4 linked regions of the Rhinolophus ferrumequinum genome follow. The protein of the gene in region 4 interacts with the protein of the main gene of each other region in a pairwise test. Links are inferred from orthologs where the notes say so. Each region holds a gene or a part of one and is shown on either strand. Other genes may lie near its edges. The genes, in order: CNKSR1, AMOT, DAB1 and PIN1.

The links.
Region 1: the proteins of PIN1 (region 4) and CNKSR1 interact in binary tests that used the Homo sapiens proteins (3 or more experiments, as listed by UniProt). The two-hybrid records come from large-scale screens. The link is inferred for Rhinolophus ferrumequinum from reciprocal best matches to the Homo sapiens genes PIN1 and CNKSR1.
Region 2: the proteins of PIN1 (region 4) and AMOT interact in binary tests that used the Homo sapiens proteins (3 or more experiments, as listed by UniProt). The two-hybrid records come from large-scale screens. The link is inferred for Rhinolophus ferrumequinum from reciprocal best matches to the Homo sapiens genes PIN1 and AMOT.
Region 3: the proteins of PIN1 (region 4) and DAB1 interact in binary tests that used the Homo sapiens proteins (3 or more experiments, as listed by UniProt). The two-hybrid records come from large-scale screens. The link is inferred for Rhinolophus ferrumequinum from reciprocal best matches to the Homo sapiens genes PIN1 and DAB1.

What each region holds. Positions count from the first base shown.
Region 1 is NC_046292.1:17,924,290-17,931,848, forward strand, and holds the start of CNKSR1 (connector enhancer of kinase suppressor of ras 1), read left to right. Parts: upstream 1-4,540; 5' UTR 4,541-4,561; coding exon 4,562-4,646; intron 4,647-4,691; exon of another isoform or gene 4,692-4,766; coding exon of another isoform or gene 4,767-4,818; intron 4,819-7,050; coding exon 7,051-7,208; intron 7,209-7,288; coding exon 7,289-7,470; intron 7,471-7,559. Other genes in the region: ZNF593 (zinc finger protein 593), read left to right, coding at 42-104, 196-337. UniProt on the Homo sapiens protein: May function as an adapter protein or regulator of Ras signaling pathways.
Region 2 is NC_046284.1:41,286,940-41,294,052, forward strand, and holds the start of AMOT (angiomotin), read left to right. Parts: upstream 1-4,103; 5' UTR 4,104-4,163; intron 4,164-4,652; exon of another isoform or gene 4,653-5,071; intron 5,072-7,113.
Region 3 is NC_046292.1:41,418,854-41,426,038, reverse strand, and holds the start of DAB1 (disabled homolog 1), read left to right. Parts: upstream 1-4,176; 5' UTR 4,177-4,285; intron 4,286-4,433; exon of another isoform or gene 4,434-4,546; intron 4,547-7,185. UniProt on the Homo sapiens protein: Signaling adapter of the reelin-mediated signaling pathway, which regulates the migration and differentiation of postmitotic neurons during brain development.
Region 4 is NC_046301.1:40,249,495-40,256,502, reverse strand, and holds the start of PIN1 (peptidyl-prolyl cis-trans isomerase NIMA-interacting 1), read left to right. Parts: upstream 1-3,985; 5' UTR 3,986-4,070; coding exon 4,071-4,128; intron 4,129-6,069; coding exon 6,070-6,282; intron 6,283-7,008. UniProt on the Homo sapiens protein: Peptidyl-prolyl cis/trans isomerase (PPIase) that binds to and isomerizes specific phosphorylated Ser/Thr-Pro (pSer/Thr-Pro) motifs.

The sequences.
Region 1 (7,559 bases), on a different chromosome or scaffold from region 4:
CAATCATCTCCTCCCTCTCCTCCAACCCCCCATCGCTACAGGAGGTACTTCATCGATTCTGCCAACCTGAAGACCCACTTCCGATCCAAAGACCACAAGAAAAGGTATGAAGAAATAAGGAGATGATTGATAGATGGGTGCCAGGCGGACAGGGCTCGCATCTGGTCAGCTCACAACTCCTTTTCTTTCACCCAGGCTAAAGCAGCTGGGCGTGGAGCCCTACAGTCAGGAAGAGGCCGAGAGGGCAGCAGGTATGGGTTCCTATGTGCCCCCCCAGCGGCTGGCAGTGCCCACAGAAGTATCCACTGAGGTCCCTGAGATGGACACATCTACCTGACACGGCCTGAGGATGCAAGGCAGAGGAGCTGCCCATGGACAGTGATGCAGGGCTAGGCTGGGAGAGTCTGTGCCAACCTCTTTTGGCCCTGGGTTTGGGGAGTGGATGGCCTCTTCTGAGTGCCTTCCCCCTTGAATAAAGGAACTGGATAAAGAGGGCTTGCTTCTGACTCCCTAACTTCCAGGCAACCCCCATCCCAAACTCCTGCCCTGTAAGGGTTTCTCTGCTACTCTTGTGACAGGGCCCACGGTGTCTCTTTCCCACTTGGTCCAGCTTTGAAAACTTGCCTTCCCACAGGGGTCCTGACATCCGAGCTGGAGCCCCCAGGTGGAGCCCAGGTGCAGTGGGGAGGAGTGGGGAGTAGGATCTGGTTTATACTGTCCTGCTTCCAATGAAGACAGTCCCAAGATTCCAGCCCCTGATGAGTTACCTACCCCCAAGGGCCCAAGTGAGAGGCTGCCCACTTCATCATGGGGCCTGTGGTGGCGGCTGTTGCTCCACCATCTTCCAGACAGCATAGCAGGAGCCACCCAGCCCGAGGACAGCCAGCAGTGTAGCCGCAATCCCAGGCAGTGGATTCCTGGGCTCTGCCTTCAGTTCCCCAGCTACCTGCATCTGTGAATGTACAGAGGGTCCACCTGAGGGGTCAGTTGAGACTTCAAGGAAGGTTGGGGGGTGGGGGTGGGAAAGGGCTCAGAAGGTACAGCTGGGTGAAGGAGGTGTGGCTGTCATTGCTGCCCTAGGGAGATTCCACTCCAATTCCTTTCGCTTCACTGCCCATCTGGGCTCTGGCTGCTCAGGCAGCAGGGAACGTGACAGCCTGGCTTGGCTGTTGGAGGCGACAACCTAGCCATGGTAGGGGGAGAAAGGGGTCGGTATCAAAAGCCATTGGTTAGGGGTACTTACCTGTAGCACCCGGAAGTAGCCAGGGGTCAGGTGTCGAAATCGCATGCTGGGTGCCACTAGTCTCCCTAGCATCCTGTGGAGTGGAAGCAGGAATGAGGACCAGTGGTGTTCATAGTACCAAGAAGTGAAAATCAGGGCATAGAGGTTTCTGACCTCTCATATGCATGAGCGCCATGCCCTCAGAAGATGCTCACCAGTGTCTGCCTCACGTCTGGCAAGGGACAGGGCAGCTAGACCTTTAAATCTGGTCCCTTCCCCCACCTGCCTGCCCTGCCAGCCTTTGGAGCAGCTGTCAGGAGAGATCAGCATCAGGCCTGAGCAGCACCTCCCCCACCTACCCAGTCGGCCAGGCTGGGTAGGCGAGGGAAGCCTTGCCTGGCAGGGCTCAGGAGTCTCAGGCCTGGATCAGGTACTGGGAGGGCTTCTGCAGCCCTGGTCCCAGCCCTATCCCTTCCTCTGATGATTGGATGTCACCAATCAGCTCGCAGCAAAGGACAGGGAGGGTACCTTAACCCGATCCCCTTCTTCCAAACAGCTGTATGCCTTTTCACTTGGTTTTGGATAGATTAACCACCCCTACCTATGGAGAGGACACATATCATCACCCTTTTCCCCAAGATCGAGTTCCTGCAGGGACTTTCCTACCCTCAGCTTGGGGATAATAAAAGATTTGCCTATACTGTTTAAGGAAGCTGTCTATAATGTGCTAAAAAAAATAGTAGCTGACTGTGCTGAGCTCTATTCTAAATACTTTATGTGTATTACATTATTTCATTTGGCATTGATTGTCTCATGAAATGAAAAGAAAGGCCTAGTATGCAGAATAGTATGTAGAGTATCTGAATATAGAGAGAATGGAAGAACACCCAGAAAACTTAATAGTGGCTCCCACTGAGGAACGGGATAAGAACATGCTGGGAAAAGGACACGTCCTCGTTTCACTTAATAGCCTACTGTTATGTAATGACCTTTGAAATTTTTACAGCAAGTATGTAGAAAACACTTTTGTAAACTCATAAAACTACCTTCAAAAAAGAAGCTGCCATTTACTGTGCCCCTAACTGCCTAGTTCTAGATGCTGGGAATACAGAGTAAAGACACTCTTATGGTTGTTAGGCCCCCAGTGCTTCTAGGGGAGTACATGAGTACAAGTGGCTAGTTTTTGTCTGTTCCCCTACAGGATTGTGAGTCCAGGGAAGGCAGAGGCTGGCTGGCTTCTTACCTCTATATCTTGTGCCAGCTCAGAGTAGGTGTTTGATGACATCAGGATGGTGGAGACACGTCTGTGTAGTGCAGGGGTGTCCAAACTGCGGCCCGCGGGCCAACTGCGGCCCACAATCCATTTTTTATTGGCCCGCAGCAAATTCGAAAAATATATTTAGTTTACTTAAATAAACCAGGCGAGGCAATACGTACTTCACCTCGAGTGAGTGGCCCGGCTGTTTGTGTATTTTACTGCATATGGCCCTTGGTGAAAAACGTTGAAAAAAGTTGGGACACCCCTGGTGTAGTGGGTTTTCCCAGACTGGCACAGGGACACTGTTGAAGGAAGAAAAAGGCAAAAACATTACAGAGGGACTCAGCATGGAGGAGGGTTGGAGAGGACACACACAGTGCAGGGTATGAGGATATGAGGCAAAGGATGAAGCCAGAGAGGTGAGGGCCATGTTGCAAATCTGGAGCCTGATGGTTCACAAATGAAGGAGCCAGGCCTGCAGGGACCTGGTGAGCTGGAGTTCCCTTTGAAGGAAGCAGCCGCTGATCTGCACTTGTGTTTGATGCCACGTGTGAAGGTGCGACGGGGTCAGCAGAGCTGGCCAAGTTCCAGAAAGCTCAATTTGTATGTGAAATTATTAAATGACAACTAACATACACACAATACTTGGGCATCTGTGGGCCAAATTCAGACTTTAGGTCTTGGTTACAGACAAAATAGTGACAGGCTTTGGAGACCAGGTTTTGGGGCACTGGTAAAGATTTCAAACTAGGTGACACAGGGCCCTCTCCATAGAATTAAAGCAATAACTCAGCTCTACCCCATGTTACATATTTCAGGATACTTAAAGGACCTCCTCATAGCACTAAGGTCTAGGTGTCCTCCTTTAGAGAGGAAGAAACAGGTTCAGAGAGGGGTAGGGCTCAGGCTCGTCACACAGCAAGTGGAACTGATTCTAATTCCAAAGTCCTGGGAGTCCCCTAGCTGGGGCAGCTGCTGCTGCTGCTAACTGCAAACTATGTTTCAGACGTTCAAAGAGGAAGGCTCTTAACCTGGGCTTCAGCATTCAGGGGGCCCATAAACTTGGATGGGAAAAATATGTATTTTTTCACTAACTTTTATACTCAAAATTTGCCATTCCATATGTATTGAAGTATTAGCAGTTCTGTGGCTTTGTCCCCAATAGAAATCACAGATATTTTTATATTAAATTGTAATTATTGCAAATATCTCAAAATACTGTTTATGCTCATAACTATTGCAAAATCATGAGTTATTAACCCACTGTTAAATCGCACTGTTTTAGACACTCCTGCAATATAGTTGCCATTGATTTGGCACCTCTGTGCCCAGTAGAGGGTCTCTGACCAAATGGTGATTCCACCTGTTCTCACACCAGTAATCCAGGCTCCTCCACTACTCCCCTGCATTCTCTCTTTAGTCGTTTCCTGATCAATACATTCCAGAAGGTGAATCAAAGACCACCCCTCAGTTTTAGTGTTCTTCTAGCTGAGTGACAGCATACTGATGTTGTTAAAAATATATAACTAACCTGCCAGTCTTGTTACTTAATGCTAATAAACATACTACTATATCATAGCTTTGTATTTTTAACATCTTTATACTAATTATCCTCCATGCAATCTTCAGCACTTTGTTTTAAAAATTTAAAAGCATTATTCTAAGAAACGGCCCAGAGGTTTCACCAGACTGCCAAAAGCGTCCATGATACAAAAAAAGAGGGGCTAAAAATCCCTGTTCTAAAGGTTTTGAGCTATTAACTCCGGTATTCTTTCCAGCAGCCCATTTTACAGACAGGGAAACTGATGCACGATGGGTAGGTTAGCGCCCAGTCCCACAGCTAGCAAGCTGTAGAGCTGTGATTTGCACCCTTTGCACCCAGGGCTCTGGCTCCCTAACCTCTGTGCTTTGCTGCTGCGCTCACTGCTCACCTTTCAGCCCCTTTTTGAGGATCCTGAAGGTCAAAGTCCCGCCCTGTGATTTGAGGCCAGTTTGGGGCGGGATCCCAGGCCGGCTCTGAGGTCACGTGGGTCACACACCAGTGGTACCGCCCCCAGGTCAAGCCTTCTAGCTGCTCGGAGATGCCTGAAGGGCGGGGCAGGAGGCAGGCAGGCCGTAGGCCAATGGCTGTCTCAGCGCCTCACCTGGTCAGCTACGTGAGCCCAGGTATGCTGGTCGCTCCGCCCAGGGCCCAGCCCGGTCCCTCCCCAGCCCTGGGCTCTGGGAGCGGAAATTCCTGCGCCGGCGGGACGGAGCGGGCGTCAATCCCAGCGGGCGGACTAGGCCATGGAGCCAGTAGCGACCTGGACCCCCGGGAAGGTGGCAGCATGGCTGAGAGGTGGGTGGGACCGGGACAGAACTGGGCTTGAGGGTCACTGGGGCGGGAAGAGGTGAAGGAAAAAGGACCTGCTGAGGCTGTCAGTTGGTTAGTCTGTCAACAAGTATTTATAAATGTCTGCCATGAATCGGGTACTGTGCTAGGCAGAAGGATAGACGAGATGACCCCGAGGACCCAGAAAGGGTCTCCCATCGCCCCAAGAGGCAGCCAGGGTGGCGATGGGGAGGCGGTGGGTGTAATGAAAACAGAGGGGACGGCCCCAGAGCGTCCCACGCCTACTTTATCTCCTTAATCTTCCCTCCGCTCCAGGGTGTAGAGGGCTGTTATTAAACCCATTTTTCAGAAGCGGAAACTGACGCACTGAGCCAGGAAGTAATTTGCTCTGGCTTTGTAATGGGGCCTGCCCTATTTCTCTTCTTCCCACCCCCAGTCTCCCAGTGTGTGAAGCAGAAGCCTCAGCCAGACTGAAGGGGTTGACACAGACCCTTCCCCCTCCCCGTAGGGCCCTCCAGGGGAGATGCCCCCCAGGTTCAGTGAGCCCAGATGGGTGGGAAAGGTCTAGACAGCTGGCCGGGAGAGACTCAGAGAAGACGTCTGACATGCAGGTGGGAGGGGAGAGGTGAGTCAAGACTTCCTCCTAGAGGGAGAGACGGAGTGCAGGGGCAGTGGGAGTACACTGGGGGCACTCTCGGGGTGACCAGCCCCCACAAAAGCAGAGATTCAGAGCTAGATTCAGACTCCCAGAAAGGATTCCAGGCCCTGCTCCCTCATTCACCAGCTCTGTGACCATAGGTCTCAGTTTCCCTACCCATAAAATGAGACTAGCAACTCTGGTGTCATGAAGTGGACAAAATGAAACAATCATGACAAGTGCCTAGGATGTCTAACTCAATGTCGGGGTCCGAAGAAGGCAGCACAGAACATTCACTGTACATGGGAAAAGTTTCTCGAGGGCCATAGCCATGAAGTAACAGGTTCATGAACGCCTGTCCAGTGCTCTAAATGTCACACAGGGAATGAGAGAGAGCTGTTGATCACACACAGGTTCCACAGTGATGAAACCTGGCTTGGAACTCCTTCAAAGAGTGAGCAAGCTAACGGTTAACCTCTATTTGTATCAGTTTTCCCATCTGTGAAATGGGATAACAATAGTCTCTACTTTCTAGATTCAGTAAGGATCAAATGTGTGCATATGTTTAAAGCCCTTAAAATTTCACACATTCACTAGGTACTTTTCTTATTTTGGAGGGCCTACCTTGTGCCAGGCATGGGCTGGAATTAGAGATGAGCAGTTATTTAAGGTGTGGTCCTTCCTTGAAGAGCTCTTGATAAATTGGGAGAGGTTGATGTTCAAATGCAGAGGTTTGTGGAGGCACAGGGGACAGTGAAAAGAGGAGAGGCCCCCTACCCAGCCTGGGGTGTTGTGGAACACTTCCTGGAGAGAGTTAGATGAAAAAGGGAGTAAAGGAGCTGGAAGAGCAGTGCAGGCAGAAGGAATAGCACCTGCAACGACCTTGAGGCAAAAGAACATGCCAGGAGCTGCAGGGAATTCATGCTCTGGATCTGAAGTGTTGAGTTGGAGGGGCTGTGCCAAGAGATGAGACTGGAGAGGCAGGTGGCAGCCTGATCATACCGGGCCTTGTGGATCATAGTAAAAAGTCTGGCAATAATAACATGGTGGCTGTTATTGACTGTCAACCATGAACCTGGAAATGGGCCAACTGTTTGACATGTATCATGTCATTTATACACACATGATTAGAAGGTAGGTGCTTTTATTCCCATTTTACAGAAAACTGAGGCACAAAGCAATTAAGTTATTTGCTTAAGTGCTGGATCTCCCTGACCCCAAAGCCCCATGCTCTGACTCCCTATTCAGAAGTTCTTAGAGAAACGAGCATCAGAACACGTGGAGGATTTATTAAAATGTTGACTGCTGGGCCCTACCCCTGAAGTATATGGTGGGGCTAAGGATTTGTATTTCTAACTAGCTCTCCAGTAAGGCTGCTGCTGCTGCTGCTCGCGGGACCACCTTTTGAGATCCACTGCCCTAAACTATTCTACTTCTCAACTCAGTGCCCTCATCTGTCAATGGGCAGAACACAGTTTAGGTCTCAGGGTTGTCATTAGGAACAGATGGGAGGGAAAAGGGCTTTGCGGGAGTGAAGAAGGGGCCAGAAACGCTATGACACTCCCTGGCTCCCTTCATGCCGACCCCTGCTGTCCTTCCAGGCCTCGATGACTCCCTGCAGGACTATTGCTTTGAGGACTGGGAGCTGCCTGGCAAATACCTGCTCCAGCTCTGCCCCAGCAGCCTTGAGGCTCTGACAGTGTGGCCTCTGGGCCACCAGGAGCTCATTCTGGAAGGGGTAGAACAGCTCAAGGCCCTGGTGAGTGAATGGTGGCCACACTGGAGGTTGCTGATGGGCGGGCCGCTCCCAGGGAGTGACCTGCCCCCTCTCTGGCACAGAGCTCCGGGCTACAGACAGAGAACCTGCAGAGCCTGACAGAGGTGCTGCTGAAGGGGACCTGTGCTTTCCAGAGCTTAGTCCAAGGCCGCCTGGGAGGCTGTGCCGAGCCCCCTGCTGAGGTCCTCAGCGCTGCTGTGAATCTGGTGCATGACGCCCGTACCCTCCTCTTCTGGCTCAACAGGTACCTCAGGCTCCTCTCAGGCCCGGGCTGGGGTGACTGGTGAGGGGATCCTTCTTATCCTTGGCCTCCTCAGGGCCTGGGAGAGAAAG
Region 2 (7,113 bases), on a different chromosome or scaffold from region 4:
CATTGCACACGTGTCCCTTTGTTCCTTTCCCATTCAGATAAAGCTGCTATTTTCTGATGAGCTCATTTCTGCATGAGAAGGGCTAGTATCTTTGTGAATAAATAGACTGACTTTAGGAGGTGTCCCATGAAAGGCTGCTTTTCAGTGTTTGTCTGATATATTTGTCGGGTGTTTTTTGGGGGAGGGAAGGAGAGAGTTATGTGGAACCATAAATCCTTAGGATTTATTTTCCCTAATGTATGTGCTTTTGTTTCTAAATGCATTTAAATGATTTAGTTGTTCACCAGGCAATTAGAGGAAGATGTGCTCATTTCACACTTGCAGTTGGCTTGGTGGGTGGGGGAGAAAGTAATTCAATAGAAAGCACTATGGTTTTATGGTCTTTTCTTCTAGAAGAATTTAGCCAGGGATTGAGGAATAGACTGTAAGCCGCATCCTCCTTCTTAACTTTTCCTGTACATTGAGCAAAAATATTGCATGCAAAGGGCAGACTTTTTAAAGATTTTTTTAGTTGCCAAAATTAGGAACCAGGAGATTTTCCATTAAAATATTTGATTTCTGGTCTGGTTTCTCTTGAAAAATCGAAGTCCTGGCCACATTGGGCCTGCATTTCCCACGGTGCTGACCATGGGAAAGCTACCCCTTTACATGGGTCCTGCCTTCTTGGCAGCCTACATCTTGGTCTTATCACCTGACACCGAGCCTGAGGATTTTTACCATTAATTTTTTTATTGTTGTAAAATATACATAACATAAAATTTATTTACCATTTTAAGTGTACAATTCAGTGGCATGAAGTACATTCAAAATGTTATACAACCATCACCACTATTTCTAGAAATTTTTCATCATATCAAACAGAAACTGTGCTCATTAAACAGTAACTCCCCATTCCTCCCAGTCCTCAGGCCTGATAGCCCCTATGTTACTTTCTGTCTCTATGAATTTGCCTATTCTAAGTATCTCAGATAAGTACAATCATACAATATTTGTCCTTTTGTGTCTGGCTTCTTAGCATAATGTTTTTAAGGGAGACATTGATTTTTTCATTGACTTATTTTAGAGCATAGACATTGATTTTTACTGCATGTTAAAGGAGGAGTTACATTTCATTGAAAACAAGGCCAACAGGACAGATCATTTGGGATGGAGACTTGACTTCTAAGCTTAAAATGATCATTATATCCATTATTGATAAGTGGAGGTTCTCAATGTACTTAAACAACCCAGTGTCTTTATACAGGTGTTTTATAGTTGCTGGTTAATTCTGGTATCCCCCAGAGGCTTCTCCATATCTTATTGTCAGGATATGAGGACATGGGGATGCTCTGGGGGTTAGTTAAATGTGTGTGGCATACTTTGCTGCATAAACTCACTCTGGAACTAGCACTTAGCATATGCTTGTTAGTTGTCTTTTTCTGTATATACCCTTGAAGGTAGGAGCCAAGTCTCATCCCTCTGTTTTTTCATTCTTGTCCACAATAGCAACTCTATCGATGTTTGTTGATGTTGGCCTCCCCTCCCCCTTCCTTTTAAGTAGGGCTGGTAAAGCATAGCTTTAAATTCAAACTCAGTTTAAACAAACCAAAGAGTTTTCAGGGTAGAAACAAAATGAACTCTTGCTAGGCAGGAAATAAGGAATACCTAAGCTTAGAGATCTGGGCAAAGCACAGGTACGAAAAAACCTGTTGTTTGCCACAGGCTAAGAAGTGAATCACACACGTGATCGACCATCAATTTCAGAGCTGTGCTCATTCTACTCCACCAAAACTTAAATTTGGAGAAGAATAATATCCAAGGCAGAATTTGAGGAGGGGGAATTAAGTGTTTTAAGGGTTTCCATTGTATGAAAGTCCCCCATAGCTGTGGGGAAGTGTAGTTGGAAAAGTCTTTTGATTGCAACTTCAAGGTTAGGGGCAGGCATCCTAGAGACACAGCCTCCAGGCCTTTGTACTAGGATTTGTTTGCCAGTATTTTCTGTGATGGCAAAAGATGGAAAATGGCCAAAATCACCTCAAAAGGGGAATGGGTAAAATAATTTTTGCACATCTGTGTAATGGAACACTGAGCTATCACGACAAAGAATAAGGTAAAGGAAGTTATCCTGAGATGGATGGATATTTAAGAGACATAATATATTTTGAAGATTACACACAGGCATAGAGAGAAAGGGAGAAAGGGACTATGAGAATGGAGTGATGGAGAGGAACTCTGTATTCCTTTCAGTACTGTTTTAATTTAACCCTGTTCATATTTTACTCTTTCCATTTTAATAGCGTTGTTAACAAGTATCCTGTTGCCATTGTGATCAACAGTAGTCTGTAGCATATACTCATCCTATCTAACTCCGCTGTCCACCTCCTCACTCCAAATAGCAAGGCAGGAATAATCTTCCCTTGATTCACAAACCAGGTGTCTCCATGTCTTTAACGCTCACAATCTCACCTTCTCCATGAAAACTCACCGGAATAACTTCACCTCACACATATATAGAATTATACCAAGAATCCATTTTGTCCATGCTCCGGCTTCTGAATCTTTCAGCAGCCCTAGTAGAGTGCTCTACACACTGAGGCTACCCTACAATATGGCACCTACTCACCACTTTTCCTGTGTGTTTGTGTGTGTGTGTGTGTGTGTGTGTGTGTGTGTTTATATTCTGAGACCCTGTTCACTGTGAGATAGTGTTCCCTTTGAGCACACTTTTCTTGCATGCCTTGATCCATGGCCCCTCAGAAAGCTCCCATTAGGCAGGCTTGAATTGGATGTCACTTTTTTTATTGGCATGAGTTCATTACAATAGCTCTGTGTTGTCAAGGCCTTTATATTTAGACTTGCTTCCTCCTTCTAATGTTTTCTAGGAAATATGGATCTGTAGAGAATGGTGGTTTCCATGGTAAATGTTCCCTCATATTTGTTTTCTCAAGTTCACTTCAGATATACACAGCATGATTTACTTTTTCAGTACCAGTACCGTTGTGGCGCCACTGCAGAACTGTTTAAAAAAGTAATCTCACCCACCCTGGTTAGAAAAGGGGTAATTTTTTATTCTAACTGCAGGGAGCCAACTTCATATCCACCCCCAAAACTGTAGGAAAAGAGTTGACTTACTAAAATACAGCCACAAAACCTACACACCTTGGATGTAAATGATTAAAACAGATGAGCAGAATATTTGATTCTCAGACACATGTGAGTCTCTCCAGGGCATAGTATACACAAGTAGGAACACATACATACATACATACATACATACATACATACATGTGGGCGTGGTTTGTGATTTATACAGTTTTCACACACAATTCATTTTATTTTTATATACAAGTGCAATTAAGTAATAGGGTATGTTTTATAGCTTTTTAGATAAGCAAATTAAGGCTCAGGGATGTTAAGCGACCTCACAAAAGTCACACAGCTCCCTGGTAAGTGCTAAAGCCTGATATGAGTTCTTCCTTTAGCTCCAAATTCCATGTTATTCTGCCACCCTTAGACTGTTTCTCTGTGCTTTCATTGCCCAGATGTAAAATGGAAGATTTTCAGTGTACCAGGATGCTGTTCTCAACTCTCTGTGTTCTTAAGCAACATCAATTTTTCACCAACGGAAAATGTGAACACCTCATTGACACTTCACGTACTTTTCCCTCTCCTGGACTAATTAATTAAAGGGGAAGAAAAGTTACCTATCCCCAGAGGACCTGACAGTGCCATAAAGGTGTGCCGGAGACTGCTGACACATTGTCGCACTCTCTTAGGAGACTGAGAAGCTAACCGTCTCAGCTTTCTCTTCTCAGCAGTGGCTGGGGAGAACAGAGAGCAAGACAATAGCCTCTTGTTTAGTTTTATTAATTTTGAGGGCGGGTGGGATCGGATCGACAGCGCAAGTCACCAATCGTAAGCGAATCCTAGGCCGGGATTAGCCAACCCATAGTTGCAAACGAACAGTGGATGGGATTTACCCTTTCTGGGCCCACTCCGCAGGGGCCGGCCCTCCCAGCCTGCCCAGGGGCGGAGGCTGCGCACAGCCCCGCCCACGCCAGCCCCGCTGCCAGCGCGGCCCGCCACCAGGGGTAGGGGCTTGCGATGTGAGTGTGGTGGAAGGAAGCGGGAGTCTAGGGAGAGCGGAGGAAGAAAGGAGGATGTCTTGCAGAGCTGCGACCTGGGTGAGGGCCTACTGGTAATAGGAAGCAAGAAGGGAAGGAACATGAAGAAGCGTTGCTCCTTCCTGCATTATTTTAAGCAGGCTTTGCAAAAAGCTGCTTTTCAGCATTTCTATTATTTGTTTTTCTTCCTCCTGCTGTGGGGCTGGGAGCTTCACTGGCCCTCCCACGCGACTCTGCTCCGCTGTTGCCGTAGATTATTATTGTAGTCTTTGTAAAACCCTTCCCTTCCTCCCAGCCAGTCCTTGCGTCGATTCTCAGGGCTACTGTAACCGATTTGTGCCATGTTAGTGGGAGGACCAGAGCGAGAACCCCCCCGCCTTTGCCCGAGCGGTAAGACCCGCCATTCAATTGTTTGAAACTTCCCCGCCCTCTAGCCCCACCTCTCTTCCGCCCTCTCCTTCCAGGCTCCAGGCAGGCCCCCTCCCTTCTTTCCCCGCTCTCTACTCCGCCCCCTCCCTAGTCCACTCCCGGCTCCTGGGCGGTCCTAGCGGCTCATCGCAAGAAGAAAAGCCACCCATTCGCCCCCCTCCCCTACCTCTCATCCTTTTCCCAGGAGCTGCCCTCATCGCAGTCACGCCCCTTCCTTCCGAGGAGCTTTCTGACTGCCCAAGCTGGTAGACCCCTGATTTATTTCTCCATCTCCTCTCTCTTTGGCTTTATCTTCTGTTAGTTCTCACCACCCCCTCCACCCCCACCTCCAGTCTGTCTCGTCTCCGACTATCCGCTGCTCCACCCTTTGGCCCGGTATCCTGCCTATCCACTGCCACCAAGGAGATCCCGGAGGGAACAGCGAAGAGGAAGCACCCAGGAATTGGGGCTTTCCCCCTGCCCATCTCTGGCCTCTGGCCTGGGACCGAAGCCACTTGAGCGAGTAGAGACTCGTCACCTTGTCTTCGTTGCCTTCAGGGGTAGGAGACGCGTGGTTACTTTTCGCGGGGTAACTGGGGCAGGAATCCATGGTGGCATGAACTTGATCATGCCCTCGGCATAAGTGAGTCGATCTACATGCGTGCGGGTATGCCCGTGTGTTCTGCTTTCTTTGCAGTTGGCCATGAGTTTTTCGAGATGTGCAGCAAGTTAAATCGGTTAAAAAGTGCGTGCTTCTTTCCCGTCGGAGATGCTACTGGGTACCACAACTTGATGTTACTTTTACTTACTTGCCTCCCGGGGTCTTAGTAGGTCTCTAGGTAATTAAGTACAAAAGAAATTAAAGACCTGAGGGAACTCGAGATCTACATTTAGCTCAAGGAGAAAGTCCATGCTTATCTCAGATTGCTAGATGTGTTCCTCCTAAATTCTTAGGGTTGGGGTGGGGACCTTGAATTCTTGAAGTCTTAAAGTCTGGGAGTAATCTACAACGAACGCTACACTTTTTTGGTGAGTGTGTGTGTGTGTGTGTGGTGTGTTGAAGAGGAGGCTGCCCCTTATCTGCTTTACATGTTAGTGACTAGTTTTGTGGGATCATGCAGGTATGTCTTGAGGGTCTTAAACCTGTGTCATTGTTGGTGCTTCAACAGCAAGATGGACTTACAGATATATGAAGATATATATTGATATATTTTCGATAGGATAAGTGAGAGGGGAAGTGGCAGTCTTTGTAGACTGTGAGCAGTCCCTGGTAAATTGCCACTAATAATTAATAATAATTTGCAGCAAGGGACTAAATAGAATCAAATGAGATAGGTAAGGGAAAGTTTGTGTGAAACAGCATTTCTAATCTCTAGCATGTACTTTAGAAAGAATTTTCCAACACCTTGGAGTGTCTAATTTAGTTCTCCTTCCTCCTCCCTTCCCTTCCACCCCCACCACAAGAAGAATGGAAGTTGGGAGGCAGTTTATTTTGTTTTAATATAACCCTCTTCTCCCATTCAGAGAGGAAGATAATTGCCTTGTTTCCCCAAAAATAAGACCAGGTCTTGTATTAAGATTTGCTCCAAAAGACGCATTAGGGCTTATGTTCAGGGGATGTCATCCTGAAAAATCATGCTGGGCATATTTTCCGGTTAGATCTTTTTTTCAGGGAAGCACGGTAGTCACCATAATCTTTAATAATGGAGGGCTAAGGTTGTTTAAGTCTCCTTGAACCAGACTTTGTGCAAAGTCCTTTCTCAGGCCAGCCTTTGTGAAGCCTTCTCAGTTAGACCTTCCAGAACCCTCATTTAGTAGCTAAGAATAGTGTAAGATACCATTTGGATCTTACACTATTTGGATGCAGGGTAAATTTTCACCCATGTGCCACCTATCTCCAATTGGGCAAGCATGGCAAACTTAGAAGAATGGTGGTATTCAAAGACCTATTACCAAGATGTCCCCAACCCATTGCTTATTTGGCAAGAAATTATTGACATATTTTTAAATAATTTCACTGGTTGATTTTGATGGGGGGAAAGGAAAGCAGGAAGGGAAAGGGGACGTTACAGGTTACAGGGCAACAATTTTAAAGGCTATCTATCGTGTTTCAGATCAACTGGGAGGGAAAAGTTGGCCTGACCAAAACTACATTTTATAAATGGCCTGGGACATTTTAATAGCCAGGTGGTTGTAGAGTAGTTGCATCTATTTAGAGATGATAACACTCAGGTTCTAGCTATTCTGTATGGGCTTATCCGGTGTCATTTACAGACACTTTCTGGCACTACATCCTACTTCGTTTTAAGATACTTCTTTCTTTGGAAAGGTCTGGCTATGTAAAATTGAAAGTGCTTTTCCTAACTTCATAGTCTAGATATGAAGTAAACCTCTGACCAGGCTTGTATATCGCGTAACTTTTCTGTGAAAGTTGTGGATCTCTTTACCTATTTAAAAGATTTTAGAAGGGAATTTAAAAACTCATATTCAATATACTCTTTTGTATTTGGAAATTAAAATCTTATTTCTGGTTTGTGAAGTAGGATTCATTTTGTGGAATTGCTTTATCTGTAGTTTTATAAAGAATCAATCAGACTCTAGA
Region 3 (7,185 bases), on a different chromosome or scaffold from region 4:
AAGGACTGTTATTTATAGTGACTGTAAACCAGAGTCAAGTTTAGTAATACTGCCAAACAACCTTTCCCTGGAATCAAGCAAGGCCAGTATCATAAAAGAAGGGATCTTCTGTTTTGATGAAGCCACATAGAAATTTTTTTTCATTGCTTTTTTGACCTCAGAAGAGAAATAGAAATTGGATAGTTTACTTGTTTCTACAGCAGAGAAGAAAAGTGTCTGAAATGTGGATAATGTAAGGTTTGCAAAATATTTTTCCTGCTTTTTTCAAAACTGGACCCCTTTATTTTCACACTAAATTCAAAAGTCTTGAACATGGCAAGCCAGACCCCTTCCTATTTGTTTATGCTGTTTTTCTAGAGTCAACTACAGTCTCATCCCCCAGAGAATAATTTCTTCTGTGCTTTTGCACATTCTCTTTTCTTTGCCTGAAATACCCTTCCCTTCTTCATCCGGTTACTCCTTATCTTTCAGGGTGATACAACTTCTTTTGTGAGGTCTTCTTAACATCCTACCCTGGGTTAAATACCCCTATTGGATGTGCCGCTAAAATCCTGTACTTAGCATTATCACGGATAGCACTGATCGCAGTGCAACATGATGACATGTTTCCTTCATGTGGCTATGGCTTGTTGGAGAGTAAGATTTTTGTTTTGCTTTTATCTTCTGCTCATGCCTGACATTATGTCTGGTATAGAGTAAGTGATCAGTAAATATTTTTTGAATAAGTGAATAGAATACAATCTGAGTTTGAACATGACTTTGAATGAAAGGGACTGTGAGAAACTTACACCTTTGGTATTAACCTTTGAAATTTTCTGTGTTCTATATGTTAGTATATTTTGAACACATGATGTCTCTAATAAGCTTTGTAAAAATGTTCCTTCTGAACATTAATTTTTTATTAATTTGAGAGCTTTATGTGTATAGAAATATTAGCATATTCCTGGCATATGCAAGCACTTAAACTATTTAATAAATGGTGGCTATATAATAATTTGTGTTTGAAACTCCCAGCGCTTACAGCACAAATTCATTTTATTATACTCCATCCAATGGAAGGTATATTTGAAACAAATGTAGGAATAAAGAGAATTTTAAATCATATAGAATACACAAAACAGGCTACTTTGCATTGCTTTCTTCGGATGAGTTATTGCCAGTGGGATTTAAGATTTCTGACATTTGGTTTTGCTTTCAGTGATGGGTCAGTTTCAAACAGCAGTTAAATAGGCAGCCCTTCTGAGTATCTTGAGAATCAAGTGCATAAGGATGAATTATGAGAATTCAATAAAACTCCTTTTGCCATCTGCATGCTATCCATGCCCATGTTTTTTATTCAGTTGACACTGAGCTTCTCAAAAGCAGGATCTGTTTCTGATTTATCATCATTATGTCCAATGCCTAGCACAGTGCCTGATGCATAGAATGGACTCCATAAATGTTGTTGTTGACTTAAAATTAACTAGTTTGGAATTCTGGAAAGAGAACCAATGCATAGTGTGTGACTTATTCTGTTCCCACCATGTCCAATGCATTATCTCATTTAAGGCTCACGGCAATCTCATGAAGTACGTGTCTCACGAAGTAGGTATCACCATTGTAGAATTTAGAAGTTCAGAGAGGTAAGTAACTTGTCAAAGTTGATGCAGGCCCATCAGCTTCCAGTCTGTATTCTATCCAGTACACACCATGAGAGTACCTCTCTCACTGGGTTAGCACGAAGGCTAAATGATTAAGATATGGAAAGGACCCAGAAGGGTGCCTGAAACATAATAAGCAATATATACATCTTTGCTGTACTCATTACTTTGTTGTTTCTCAGAGTAGATGGTAGAAGAAAGCATATGGATTTTTTTTCATATGCAAAACTTAATACAAATGGCCTTGTTATTTAAATGAGAAGAAAAAATACCGTAAATTTGAGATGACTTGTTATTTGACATGTTTAGCATAAGTTAAAATAGTACTACTTCAAAATTCGGCTTGGCTTAACCCAAAAGACTATTAGGTCCTTGGGCAGCTGTGTGCAGTTAGAATCTACATATTATGCTTTCTTCCAGCCTGGAGTTGAGAACAGCTGCAGCTTGTTGCCCCTGTTGGATTTAATGGGAATTTGCCCAGTTTCCATAGTGGACCATGTCCAGCACTGAATAGAAATAGAGTTTTACATGAGCCTTTTCCATTTCTATTACTCTTCCAACTCAGTGTTCCACACTCCCTTCAGTGTCTGTTATCATGATGTCAATTGAAAACAGAACAAGGTAGAAGAGGGATGATCGCAACAACTCTTACATGTGGGATATTAAAATGGATGTAAATGGTTTTTATGTTCCCTGGCTATCCACTGAAGCATGGAGAAACTTTGGATTTTTGTTTGTTTGTTTTTTTTGGTAGAGTCAATGAAAAGTTCGACCTCTGTTTGATAATCTAAAGTTTGACATTTGCCCCAGCCACCTGAAGTGCGTAATAGTTTTCTATACTCTTTCCTTTTATTTCAACCAAGTCTTCTTGATTGGTCTGTGTTCCCTGGTGTTTTTGTTTTTATTTCTGTTTTTTTTGTATTGAGTTCAGATTCCCGATGTCTGTCTTTACAGAGTAGGAACCTGAAGTCTTTTATTAATCTTATTAGAGTTGGCTGGAGAGCCTGAACTTCCTACTAAATGAATCTTAAGTGTTCAATAGTAACTCTTGCCACTCTCTAGAACATTGAAAAAGCCGGAGAGACTTGAGCCAGTTTTGTGGTCCCCACCATTAGATTTGCTGGTCATACCCAGGAGTCAGTAGAAACAGTTATATCAAGGGGGCACCTGCCTCCCACCTTGCTGGGAGTGTCCTCTGATCAACTATTTCCCCTAGATTGTATCCTGCCAATGACCTCACACGTTTTTCTTGTCTCTGTGTAAATTGCTATCTTTTCAGGAGGTGCATGACAGCCTCCATACACTGGGGCCTCCATTTGTACAGAAGCTGTTATTACGGAATAAGTTTAATGGGTCGTGAATTTTGTGGTGAAAAGGAGGGTCTCTCGATGACTTTGGATGTACAAGCCACAGACCTATTGGCTCCACAAGGATTGCATTAGGCTAAATATTTTTAGCCCATTGACTCTAGAGGTAATAACCCTAAATGCTTCATTAAATTTTCATGGGTGAGTGACAGAAGCTATAAGGGAAAAAAAACAAAACTCAAATCCACCACATTAGCTTTATTATTACACAGCTGGAGGACAGGAAGTGTGGCCCCTACAAAGGATAAAAATAAACTTTTTGAAGGACAGTTTCCTGACTCTTCCTTTTCCATGACCTGCTCCAATGGGTCAGCACTTGATCTGATTTGTTTCCTCCCACACCTGGCATTTTGCCCTCTGGAGGCCAATATACCACAACAAGCATTTACTGGAGTTGAATCCAGTCTCAGGATAGAAAAATTTCCAGACCGACACAATATTTTCTGCCACTTACTGAATTTTTGTAAACCAGGACCAGAAGTAGGAAGCTGGGGTATTCTCCCAAGCATGTTCTAATCTGAGACTCCTCCTCTCCTAGGAATTTTAAGAAAAGGAGTGGGGAGGCTGGGTAGGAAGGGGCGAGTTGGGGTTTACCTGGGGCCTGCATACTTTCAGTTGCCTGAGTCCCTGGACTGATGAAAACGTGACAGATGCAACCCTCTCCTCTATCAACTTTGCGTGGGAAGTTTCAGCGAAGACCAGAGCTGCCAAACCACATTTGGCCGCTGGGAGTTAGCGCCCCCTCCTGCGTGGGGGCTACATGTCCTTGCCGAACCTCAATTCTAGTTCTCACCCACTGGCGCTCTTTGTATTTGGGTGTGCCTATGTTTAGAGGTTTGGATAAAAGAGTAGCCCTAGATAAAAATGAGGGAGGCCGGGCGAGGGCTGCAGCTGGTGGTGGTGGTGGTCATGGTGGCGAAAACACTGGATACTTTCTGAAACCCGAGTCCGGTAGTTTTCTCTCCTTCTCTCCCCCACGCGCTCTCCGCTGGCACAGCCGGGGTTGGGTACCCTGTGCTCTCTGCTCCGCTCTCCCCCTCCACGCCGGGCTGGGGAGTGAGTGCAAGGGCCCCAGAGGCGCCACGGCGAACCGCGGCGCCCCCGCTCGCTCGCTGGCTCGCTCTTCCTCCTCCTCGTCGCCACCGCGACTCGGCTAAACCCTCGGAGCGCGCTCGGGCAGCGCAGAGAGCGCCGGGCGGGAGCGAGAGCAGGAGCCGCAAGGCTGGGACAAGGGGCGCGCGGCGGGCACCCCGGAGGCGGCGGCTGGGTTGCCAGCAGGTGAGCAGCGCCCACGGGCGCCCCGTGGGCGTGGGGCAGGAGGGGCTGGGGCTGCAGGAGGAGGCGGGTCTGCACACAGGGCGGTCTCCTCCCCCTGCTCTGACGCGGGGCCGTGGCTCTCGGGGAGGATGGACCCAGCTCCGTGATCGCCGGGGCTTCCCCGGGCTGGAGAGCGTGCCTGAGTGCTGCCGCCCGCCGGGCATGGGGAGCCGCTTCCCGCGCGGCTGCGGCAGCGGCGGAGGATGCTCGCGGCGAGCCGAGGTGAGGTGCGGCGGCGGCAGGAGTTCCGTGAGGACAGGAGTTCAGAGCGGGCAGTTGCCCGGTGGGCACAAGGCGCGGGGACACCCAGGGCACCCCTCTCAGGAGTTTGGTTAGGGGTACCGCGGGGACAGCGACTGCAGTTTTCCGCCCGCTCCCTCCAGTTGCTGGGGAAAGGGGCAACCTCTGAGCCTTCTTTCTGCGTCTCCACCATAACCCACAATCTCCCTACTTCTGACCACTCGCGGTCCCCTCTCCAGACCTCACCCCAAATACTTGTCTGTCTCCAGGACCCCTTGCAACCTCCTTCCTTCTACGCTCCAGTCTCTACCCAACCACGGACCTTCGTTCTCCCACTCCAAAAGCTACCCGGTTTTCTCGAGTCCTTCTCCCTGCTTCGCTGGCGGCGTCCCGGGGCTGGATCCTCTTTCTTACTCAGCCAAACCCAGTTTTCACTTCCCTACTCCTCTGCGCGCTGCGGTTCTGCCCCGACCTGTGGAAAAATCGGATGTATCCCAGGAACCCCTACGCTTTCGCAGACAGCAGTCAGAGCTAGAGCCCGCGTCGCCTCTGACTCCAGCCCTTCCCCGGGTCCTCCACCGGCCGGGCTCTCCATCGTTTTCCTCCCCTCCGTTCCACTCCCCAGGCGCCCTGCCACCCCAATAGGTTGCCTCCCCAACCCGCACCTCTTGCTTTTCTATGCTCTAGACTCCATGCTCTGCCTCGGATGCAGAGCTCAGGGTTTTCTTTCTTCTTCTTCTAATTCTTTTCTTTTTCTTTCTTTTTCCTACTGGGGAAACTTTAAATCCTCAAGATTTGGCTCTTAAGGAAGCCCTAAAAGGAGGACTCAGTCGCCAAGAAAACCTGGAGTCAGGGAGTCAGAGATGAGGGGAGTTTGTGTCGCGCCGTCGGAAAGGGGTTTTGGGATGAGCGTACAAAGTAAATTTCAAAACCGCTGTGGTTACTGTAGCCCGGACTCTCCTTCCCGTCTGCCTTCGTCCTGCAGAGTACCATTATGACCCCTGGTGGGAGGGCGCATCTTTTTTCTGCTCCTGTTAAAACGCCTTTGTGTGGGTGGTGGACCGGACGCGGGATGGTGCAGGGTTGGGAGGCGGAGGGCACCAGGGAAGGCTGCTGCCAGAGGCTGATGCCACTTCGCTCCTGCACAGCTCCCTCCCGACCCCGCCAGACTGTGTACGTTCTACTCCCTGTAAGCTCCCCGTCCACCCCCAACTGCATCACACAAGTCCTCATTGTTGGGGGTTCGCCTGGGCACTTCCGCCTGGGCTGGGAGAGTCTAAAGGAATGGGATGGGGGTGGGGAAGCCCGGGGCGCTTGGCGACAGCAGTCTGGCATTCGCTGGAGGCTTGGCGGTGGAGGAGGAGCTGAGAGCGCCGCGTCGCGGGCATCTGTGTGCTCCGGCGTGTGTCGGCGAGGGTGGGGTGCGTGCCCACGGAGGTGGGTGCCTGCGGGTGCGTTTGGATGCTGGCGCACGCCTGAGCTTAGCTCCTTTAGAAAGATGGGCGAGTGGAAAGCTTGCGGAAGCCAGCGGGCCTTTTGCTGCCCCGGAGCTGGGTGGGCCAGCGAGTCCTCCGAAATGGATGCTACAGTGCCGTCCTCTATAGCGAGTTGCCGGGACCGCAGGAGGATCCTCTGTCGCTTGTTCCTCCCTTCTGCTCCCCTCCTACTGGCCATTTCGAAGTACTTTCGCAATGTTGATGGTTTTGAATAAAGGCCTTGTGGGGGTTCCGCTGACACTTCATAATACTTAACATTTTTTCAAGTAATCATATGAAGGTAGCTTACATTCAGAACCCCCTGATTATTGGGTTCACGTTTGTACATTTATGTGCCAATGATAGGTCTTCAGGAAAGCCATAACGTGGTAAACCATCCCCACCCCCTGAATTAGCACCCATTGTTTTTATTATCTCAGTGGTGCGTGATTCTGGACGGAACCCAGAATTGCCCAGGCTTGAAGATAGATGTGCAGGAGGGGAGAGATTGCGTGACGAGGAGCGAGCTCCACCGCCCCTGCCCCAGCCCCTCCGGCTCTTTCACTTCCTATCCTGACAAGGCTTGGAGACAATTCTGGAATCTAAAAGGGATCAGAGATTTTCTTGATTTCCTATTGAGAAGGGCGACCTAATCAAAGCTGTATAAAAGTCAACTTCTAAGCAATCAGAAATTGCTGATGTCTTTGATTGAAACCCCAGCATTCAAATGGAGTTTTGAAGAACTCCCAGACATGGCTTTGGAAGTGCTATTGTTCTTTTCCATACACAGAGGCCCTCTCAAAGGTTTAGGAAGTTCAAAATGCAGTGATTTGAAAGACTGACCTTGTAACTATTTGGCAACTCGGAGAGGATCAGCAGGGATGAGAGAAGAGGCTGAGGTGGGAAGTGCAAACGTGTTGTTACTATCTTCTTGGGAACAGTGCCTATCAAGTGGGAATTCAGTCCTTCACATCAAGTTGGCAATTAAAGCTCTTCCCCAAACAGATTTAGAAGATGATTTTTAGTAGTTTTTCATTTCTTTCTTTCTTTCTTTTTTTTTTTTTTTGGTGGTTTGCTTAAGGTCTGAATAGGCATATCTGAAACATTTAATCATGTTCATTGTATTCAACAATAAAATCTGAATAA
Region 4 (7,008 bases):
TCAGTGAGATAATGCAGTTAAAATAACACGATGTCTGATAAATAGTGCTATTAGGTGTCTCCAGCCTTCTCCCATGTGTGAGCAGACGACGCCAAACACTCCATCTCTGTTCCCCTAGCCACAGACCCTGGGGTTGACCTTGGCCCTGTCCTTTCCCAGAGCGGCATTCTGGAGCCGTTCTCAAGAGCTTCACCCACAACCTGGCTCCATCCCTTCTCCCCTCTCTTGTATTGACCTGCCCTGTCCTCGGTTCACAAACACAGTCGAGTGTAGTCCACTGACCCTTCCCTTCCCCCAAAGTCCCCCCAGCCTTCTGCCTTCCCTTCACTACCAAGCTTTTTTTTGTTGTTTATTTGTTTCTTACTACCACCAAGCTTCTTGGCAGCTGCACCTGCCAGCTGTCTGGGGGCTGCTGGCCTGTAGCCCATTGAGAATGGTCTCTCTTTGGTCTCCCATTACTCACCTCCCTACCTATCTGTTGGCTTCCCTCCTGTCCCTAGGACTCCACTTCCTCCTGACATGTCAGACATGTCTGTTTCCTGGTACCCTGGCCCTTACTGCATTTACAGCTCAATCTCGCCCCTTACTGTCTGTTAGAAAAACAAACCCAACAATTTTTTTTTTAACTACACGAGGGACTTGACAAGGTAATCCCTTATTAATTTCAAATCAGCCTAGAAAAGTACATGCTAAAAGTAAAACCCCTTTCCTCACCCGATTCTCTCTGCTGAGGTCAGACCTTTTCTAATGTATTTTTATAAACTTCAATTTGGTTTTTAAAAGATGTCTATGCTAATATCTGGTTCTTAAATAACATTCTCCAATAAAAGGAACTAGGGCTTCTTGGAAAAGTGATTGGTTCAAGAGCCAGGGCAGGGAAAATACAAGCTAAGCGTGGAGCATCTTGTGGTGTCAGGAAGTAGGAAGTGCTCAATTAAAAGGATGGAAACATGGAAAGAGCACAGAAGCCAGCCTATGAAAGAGCTCCCAGTAACCAAATTTGGAACAACTTGAGCAACAAAATAACGATAGTATTGGACTATAACCCAAAGAATAAATACCCTTGAGCCCATGATCATATCAATAAATAACTGAATATATAAATAAATGGAGAAGGGGCAACTCGTCATTACAAAAGGATTTCAATTAATAAACGTAGACGATTAGAGGAAATAAGAAATCATCCACCATTGGCATACCATAGTAATAATTGCTGTAGGCAAGATGCACTGATAAATGCTAAACTCGGTGGGTAAAAGTTTAAGCAGAAGTAGGATATTTGCACACTCTCAAAGTATCTCCTCAAAAGTATTTATTCATTACAATAGTAACTTTAGAAACTGCCTAGACCAAGTGATCAAAGTTAATATTGCCAAGTGTGGCAGGCAGCCTGTAAGATGGCCCCTAACGATCCCCCCATTCTGGTATTCACACCCTTGTGTAATCCCTTCCTCTTGAGTATAGGCTAGACCTCGCTTCTAAGAAATAGGACATGGCAAAAGTGGTGCACTATCACTTCGGAGATAAGGTTGCAAAGAGACTGGATTCTGTCTTGCTTGCTCACTTGCTCATTGATGAAAGCCAGCTGCCATGTTTTGGAGAGGCCGCCAGCCAATAGCCAGTGAGGAACTGTGGTCCTCAGTACATCTTGTTAGCAACTGAATCCTGCCAGCAGCCACATGAGCAAGCCTGGAAATAGATCCTGCCCCAGTCAAACCTTCAGATTAGACCACGGCTACCCCTGCTGACACCAGCTAAACTGCCTGGATTCCTGACACATAGAAACAGAAAATAAAATGTTACTCCCCTAAATTGTGGGGTAATCTGTTATGCAGCAATAGATACCCTAATGTAACCAGGAATACACTGCAACACCGTCGATCACCTGGTATGATGCACTGAGAAGGGCACGACGACTCTGGGGTACCCTTCCCAATAACTTCAATCGAATCATGAGAAAATACTGACAAACCCCACCATGACAAAACATCAGAATGAAGGCCAGTTCTACTCTTCAAAAGTATCAAGATCGTGCAAGACAAGGAAAAACCTAAAAACTGTCACATACTGGAGGAGACGAAGGAGACATGACAATGTGGATGCAAGTCTAGTTAATAGTATTATACCAAAGTTGATTTCTTAGTTTTGATAATTACTCTATGGCAGAGTTTCTCAGCTTTGGCACTGTTGGCATTTGGGGCTGGATAATTCTTTGTTGTGGCGGCTGTGCATTATAGGATGTTTAACAGCATCCTTGGCCTTTACCCATTACATGCCAGTAGCATTTCTCTCCCCCGACTTGTGACAACCAAAAATGTCTGAAGACATTACCAAATGTTCCCTGGGGAACGAAACCACCCCTGGTTGAGAACATGTTCCTTTACTATGTACAATGCTAATATAAGGGAAGTCTGGGTGAAGGGCATATGAAACTATATTCTATACTAAGTCTAACATATTTTTCAAAAAGGATTATGCTAACATGTGCTTGTAAAAAAAAATGAAAATCATATTAAAATCTAAGTTGCTCATTTCTTCACCTGCATCACGTGGCAGCCATTATCGTATTTGAATGAATCCAGAAATTCTCTATGATATAAACCTATAGTTTTTACACTTTTCAATTAATAATACATACTCTACATACTGATACTGTTCAGCAGCTTGCTTTTTATCTTTGATATCTTTCTATAAACGATGTCATTCTTTTAAAGCAATTTTATTTGTTGGTTTTTGTTATGCTTTTCTATGTACTATCAATTGCTATGCTGTACTATGATTTGCTTTTTTTTGCCCAGCAAACACATTCTTGCTATGTATAGGCCAGGCACTGTTTGAGTGCTTTATATAAATTAACTCATTTGATCTTTACATCAAAGGTATATATGAAATATATTTCATTTCTTATCCTCATTTTGCAGATGGTAAAGCTGAACAGCAGAGGTTAAGTAATTTGTTCAAGGTCATGGTAAATGGTAGAGCCAGGCTTCAAACAAGTAATCCGTCTCCTGAGTGCTCTTAGCCTTCTACCGCATCCTGTCTCTACTTTCTCGTGAACATGTTTCCCTGTGTTTTATGTCACTGCGCCTCATTCTTTCTAAGTCATATGAGGGTCAGTGCTATAGATGAACTGTAATTGAACTCTTCCCTGTTGGTAATCTTTGACTTCCATAGCTATCTCCAGCCCTGGGTCCCCCACCACCTCCTCAGTGCCCCATGGGTGCCACAGACTCCATTTTAAATAGAATCAAACTGAACTCATCCTCCCACGCTTGCCCCCTTCTGTGTCCCTCTCTGAGTGGCAATGCCATCACCCACCAGTCACCAGGATAGAGGCAAGAGACAGCTTTGGAGGGAATAAGTGATGTAAGTAGGTTCCAAAGAAAGTAGAAGGTGTTTGGGTCATTGGTAGAGGGAAAGGGTTAGACTTGCACAAAAAAAATAAAAGGGGATGGGTTAGCTTGGGACATCTGGAGGAAAGAGATGGGAAGAGGGAGGATGGAAGAGCCAAATTTAGGCTTCTGGTGCTTAGCTGCTCATCACCAAGGCAACTGCGTTGCTGTGGCAACAGCAAAGCCAGCATCTCTTCTCCCAAGTACCTCGTCAGCTACCGTTACCTCCACACCAGCCAGACACTTCCGTATAGGGGGCTGCGGCCCTCCGGAAACGGCTGAGGAAGGCGAGAATTGCTGCTGCAGTAGCCAATCGGATGGGCTCTGTGGCGAAGGACGCAAAGGAGGAGTTGGGACTTCTTTGAAGCTCGCCAAAGGGCTTTGAGAAGGCGGGAGTATATCCCTTCCCCACCACTTACAGGACCAGGAGAGGAAGGGGGCGGGGTCGGGTGAGGCCGACTAGGGGGGGACCGGGACCCAGGTAAATGTGGGGAGGATCCGCCCACTGTCGCTTCTGTGCAATAGAAAGCCAGAAGTCCAGTCCGGACAGTTGGAGTGCCCAGTGAGCGTCGTCTCCAGGCCCTGGTGCAAGGCAGGCCTAGCCAATCGGTGGCGGCGGTGGGCGGGCGGCAGAGGCGGTGCGGCGGAGGCGGAGCGGGCGCTGCGGCAGGAGGGAAGATGGCGGATGAGGAGAAGCTACCGCCCGGCTGGGAGAAGCGCATGAGCCGCAGCTCAGGTGCAGCGGGGGTCGGGGCTGGGGCGGGGCCGCGCGGGCCTGTGGAAGCAGGGCTCGAGCTCGCCTCTTGGGCGCGGTGTAGTTGTCCGATTTCCATGGGATCTTGGCTCCTCCGAATCGTCTAGGGTAACGGCCCCGGCCCGCCCTGTGGAGGCTTTGAGCCTCAGGAGCCAGGAAACCGAAGGAAACTAAGGCGGGGATGGGACCGGGAAAGCCTAGGGCCCTGTGGGGGAAACGGGGGGAAGGGGCCGGTGATCCTACGGCACTCCTCCGAGGGATGGTCTTGGTCCTGCCGACCGGGCTGACACTTTTCGGCCTAATGCACCTGACGTCGCGGGGAAACGTCTGTGCACCCCGCTGGGCCCGGGGGCACCCCTGGGGGAGGAGACCCTCTAAACCCATGCTCAGGGCGTGGCCCTAGAGTTGCCCGGCCTCACATCCCCAACCTACTGCTAACACGCGTGCCATCCACACCTAATGCTGAGCCTATGGTGAAATTCTGCCCGAGGACGGCCCCCGTGCTGGGGCCCGATTTAAGGCACATGTACAGTAATGGCAACACCAGGGCACTTTTATCAGCGTCGAGCATTATGCCGGGCGTTTTAAGTGTTTTCTGTCACTGAATGGCCACATCTCCTGGAGGTTGGTAGTCATTACCCCTATCTTGCAGGTGAGGAAACTGACGCCAGAAAACTTAAGGAACTCGCCCAAGGTCATTCATTTCAGGGGGTGGGGGCTGAGTGTGAGGTTAGAACCCAGTTTGTCTCCAGAGGCCCCTGCCCTTGTCACTGCAAACTGCTGAGAAGCAGGCCCCGCTCTCATTCCACTGCCTCCATTGCCCATAGCAGTCAAAGTCGCAGTAATAATTCTGGTTTATTGAACGCCAGGCACTCTGGTGAGCACTTTGCATACATCATCATTTTCTCTCCACTTGCACCAACCCCATAAAGTCTGATTGTCTCACTTCACTGCCACTTTTCAGCTGAGAACACTGAGGTTGGGAGAACTAGAGCCCACTGCCAAGGTTTTAGAGGCCGTCGTGGGTTCCGCTCTCTCCCACCCTGCCTCAGCCCTGGCCTGTGGCTATGGCCTGCAGCATAAAACTGATGCACTGTCCAACTCTGGGCCCCAACTCCTGCCATTCCTGCTCTGCTCAACCCTGACAGCCCTCCTCAGGGGTGACATTCAACCCTTCACGGTGCTGGGCACAAGTCCTCCATGTAACCCAGGCAAACTGGTTTTGTGGAATGATACCCCGTCTCTCCTAGGTCCCTCTTCAGGCTTCTTGTGTGCCGTGTTCGCTCCATGCTGCTCAGTCCCTGCCTAACGTCTGGCCCCCAGTAATGCTGGCCCCTTGGTGCAGCACAGTACGCTGTAGGGGAAGAGAGCTGAGCTTTGGTGTCTGACACGCCTGGGCGCAGTTGTGCCTGGAGCCCACTGAACACTCAGGAAACATACCTAGTTTTGTCATCTATAAAAGGAATATAATCATAGCTATCACACTCTTAATGTGTGCCAGGAGCTATCCTGAGCACTTTACAGATAAGAACTCATTTAGTCCTTACAATGGCCCAACAAGCAGGCGCTGTTGTGTCCGTTTTACAGGTGAGAAAACCGAGGCCTGGGGAAGGTAGATCATACAGTGAGTAAGTAGCAGAGGCAGATTTGAACAGGCAGTCTGGCTGCTGAGTGCATGCTTTGAACCACTCCGTCTCCCCCACCCTGGCTTCCTCTCTACTGTCACCCTGGGTTATTCAAAGTTATCAGTGACTGAAGTTATCCTGTTGTCTCATTTGCCGGCACCTAGAATGTTAGCTCCCTAAGGGCTTGTGGCACGTGGTGGACACAGTGGATTTGCTGAATGATGGCATCTCATAGACCAGTTCCTTATCCTGGCCTATGAGCAGGTCCCAGCTGAATTCCTGCCTCCTCTCCCTTCAGGCCGGGTGTACTACTTCAATCACATCACTAACGCCAGCCAGTGGGAGCGTCCAAGTGGCAACAGCAGTGGCGGTGGCAAAAATGGACAGGGGGAACCTACGAGGGTTCGCTGCTCACACCTGCTGGTCAAGCACAGCCAGTCACGGAGGCCTTCGTCCTGGAGGCAGGAGAAGATTACCCGGACCAAGGAGGAGGCCCTGGAGCTGATCAACAGTGAGCAGGGCTGGAGATGGGCTCTGGGGGGCAGGGCGGTTGGTACCTCTCCCCCTCCAGGGGCCAGAGTGGGCCTTGTACAAATCACACCAGACCCTCCATCCCACTTGCTCAGCTGTCAGGTGTGGCGTTGGCCAACACAGAAATGCCTATATGTGACATGAGCCTGGCCCAGATGGCCACCTCTTCCCACTAGGGACGGTAGGACCCAGCCTTGGAGCCTGGCAGACCCAGGTTAAGAGGGTAGCTATGTTGCCCTGTAACCTCCATGACCTTGGGGATTCAAGTCACCTCCATGAGACTCAGTTTTTGTTATAAAATGGGCAGCGTCATATATTGTCTATAAAATGGGCACCTCTGAGGGCTGTTGTGAAAATTCAGTGGGATGAGACAGTGCATGAAGCACAGTGGGCCCTCAGTCAGTCGGAGCTATTGATGATAATATCATCAAGCAGGTTTCTGTGGCACATGTGTGGGTGGGTCTGGAAGAAGGGGGAGGGGGAGGGAGGTTGGAAAAGTAGCAGCACAGAACTAGCCAGCAGTTATAAGTTAATTCTGCCCCAAGACAGGGGGCTGTTCCTTGCTTTGTTTTGTGTTTTCTCCACAGTCTAGAGCAGCAGTTGGTAACCTTTTTCTTAAAAGGCCAGATGGTAAATATTTTAGATTTTGTGGGCCATACAGTCTCTGTCAATTCTGCTTTGTAATATAACAGCCATAGACAGTATG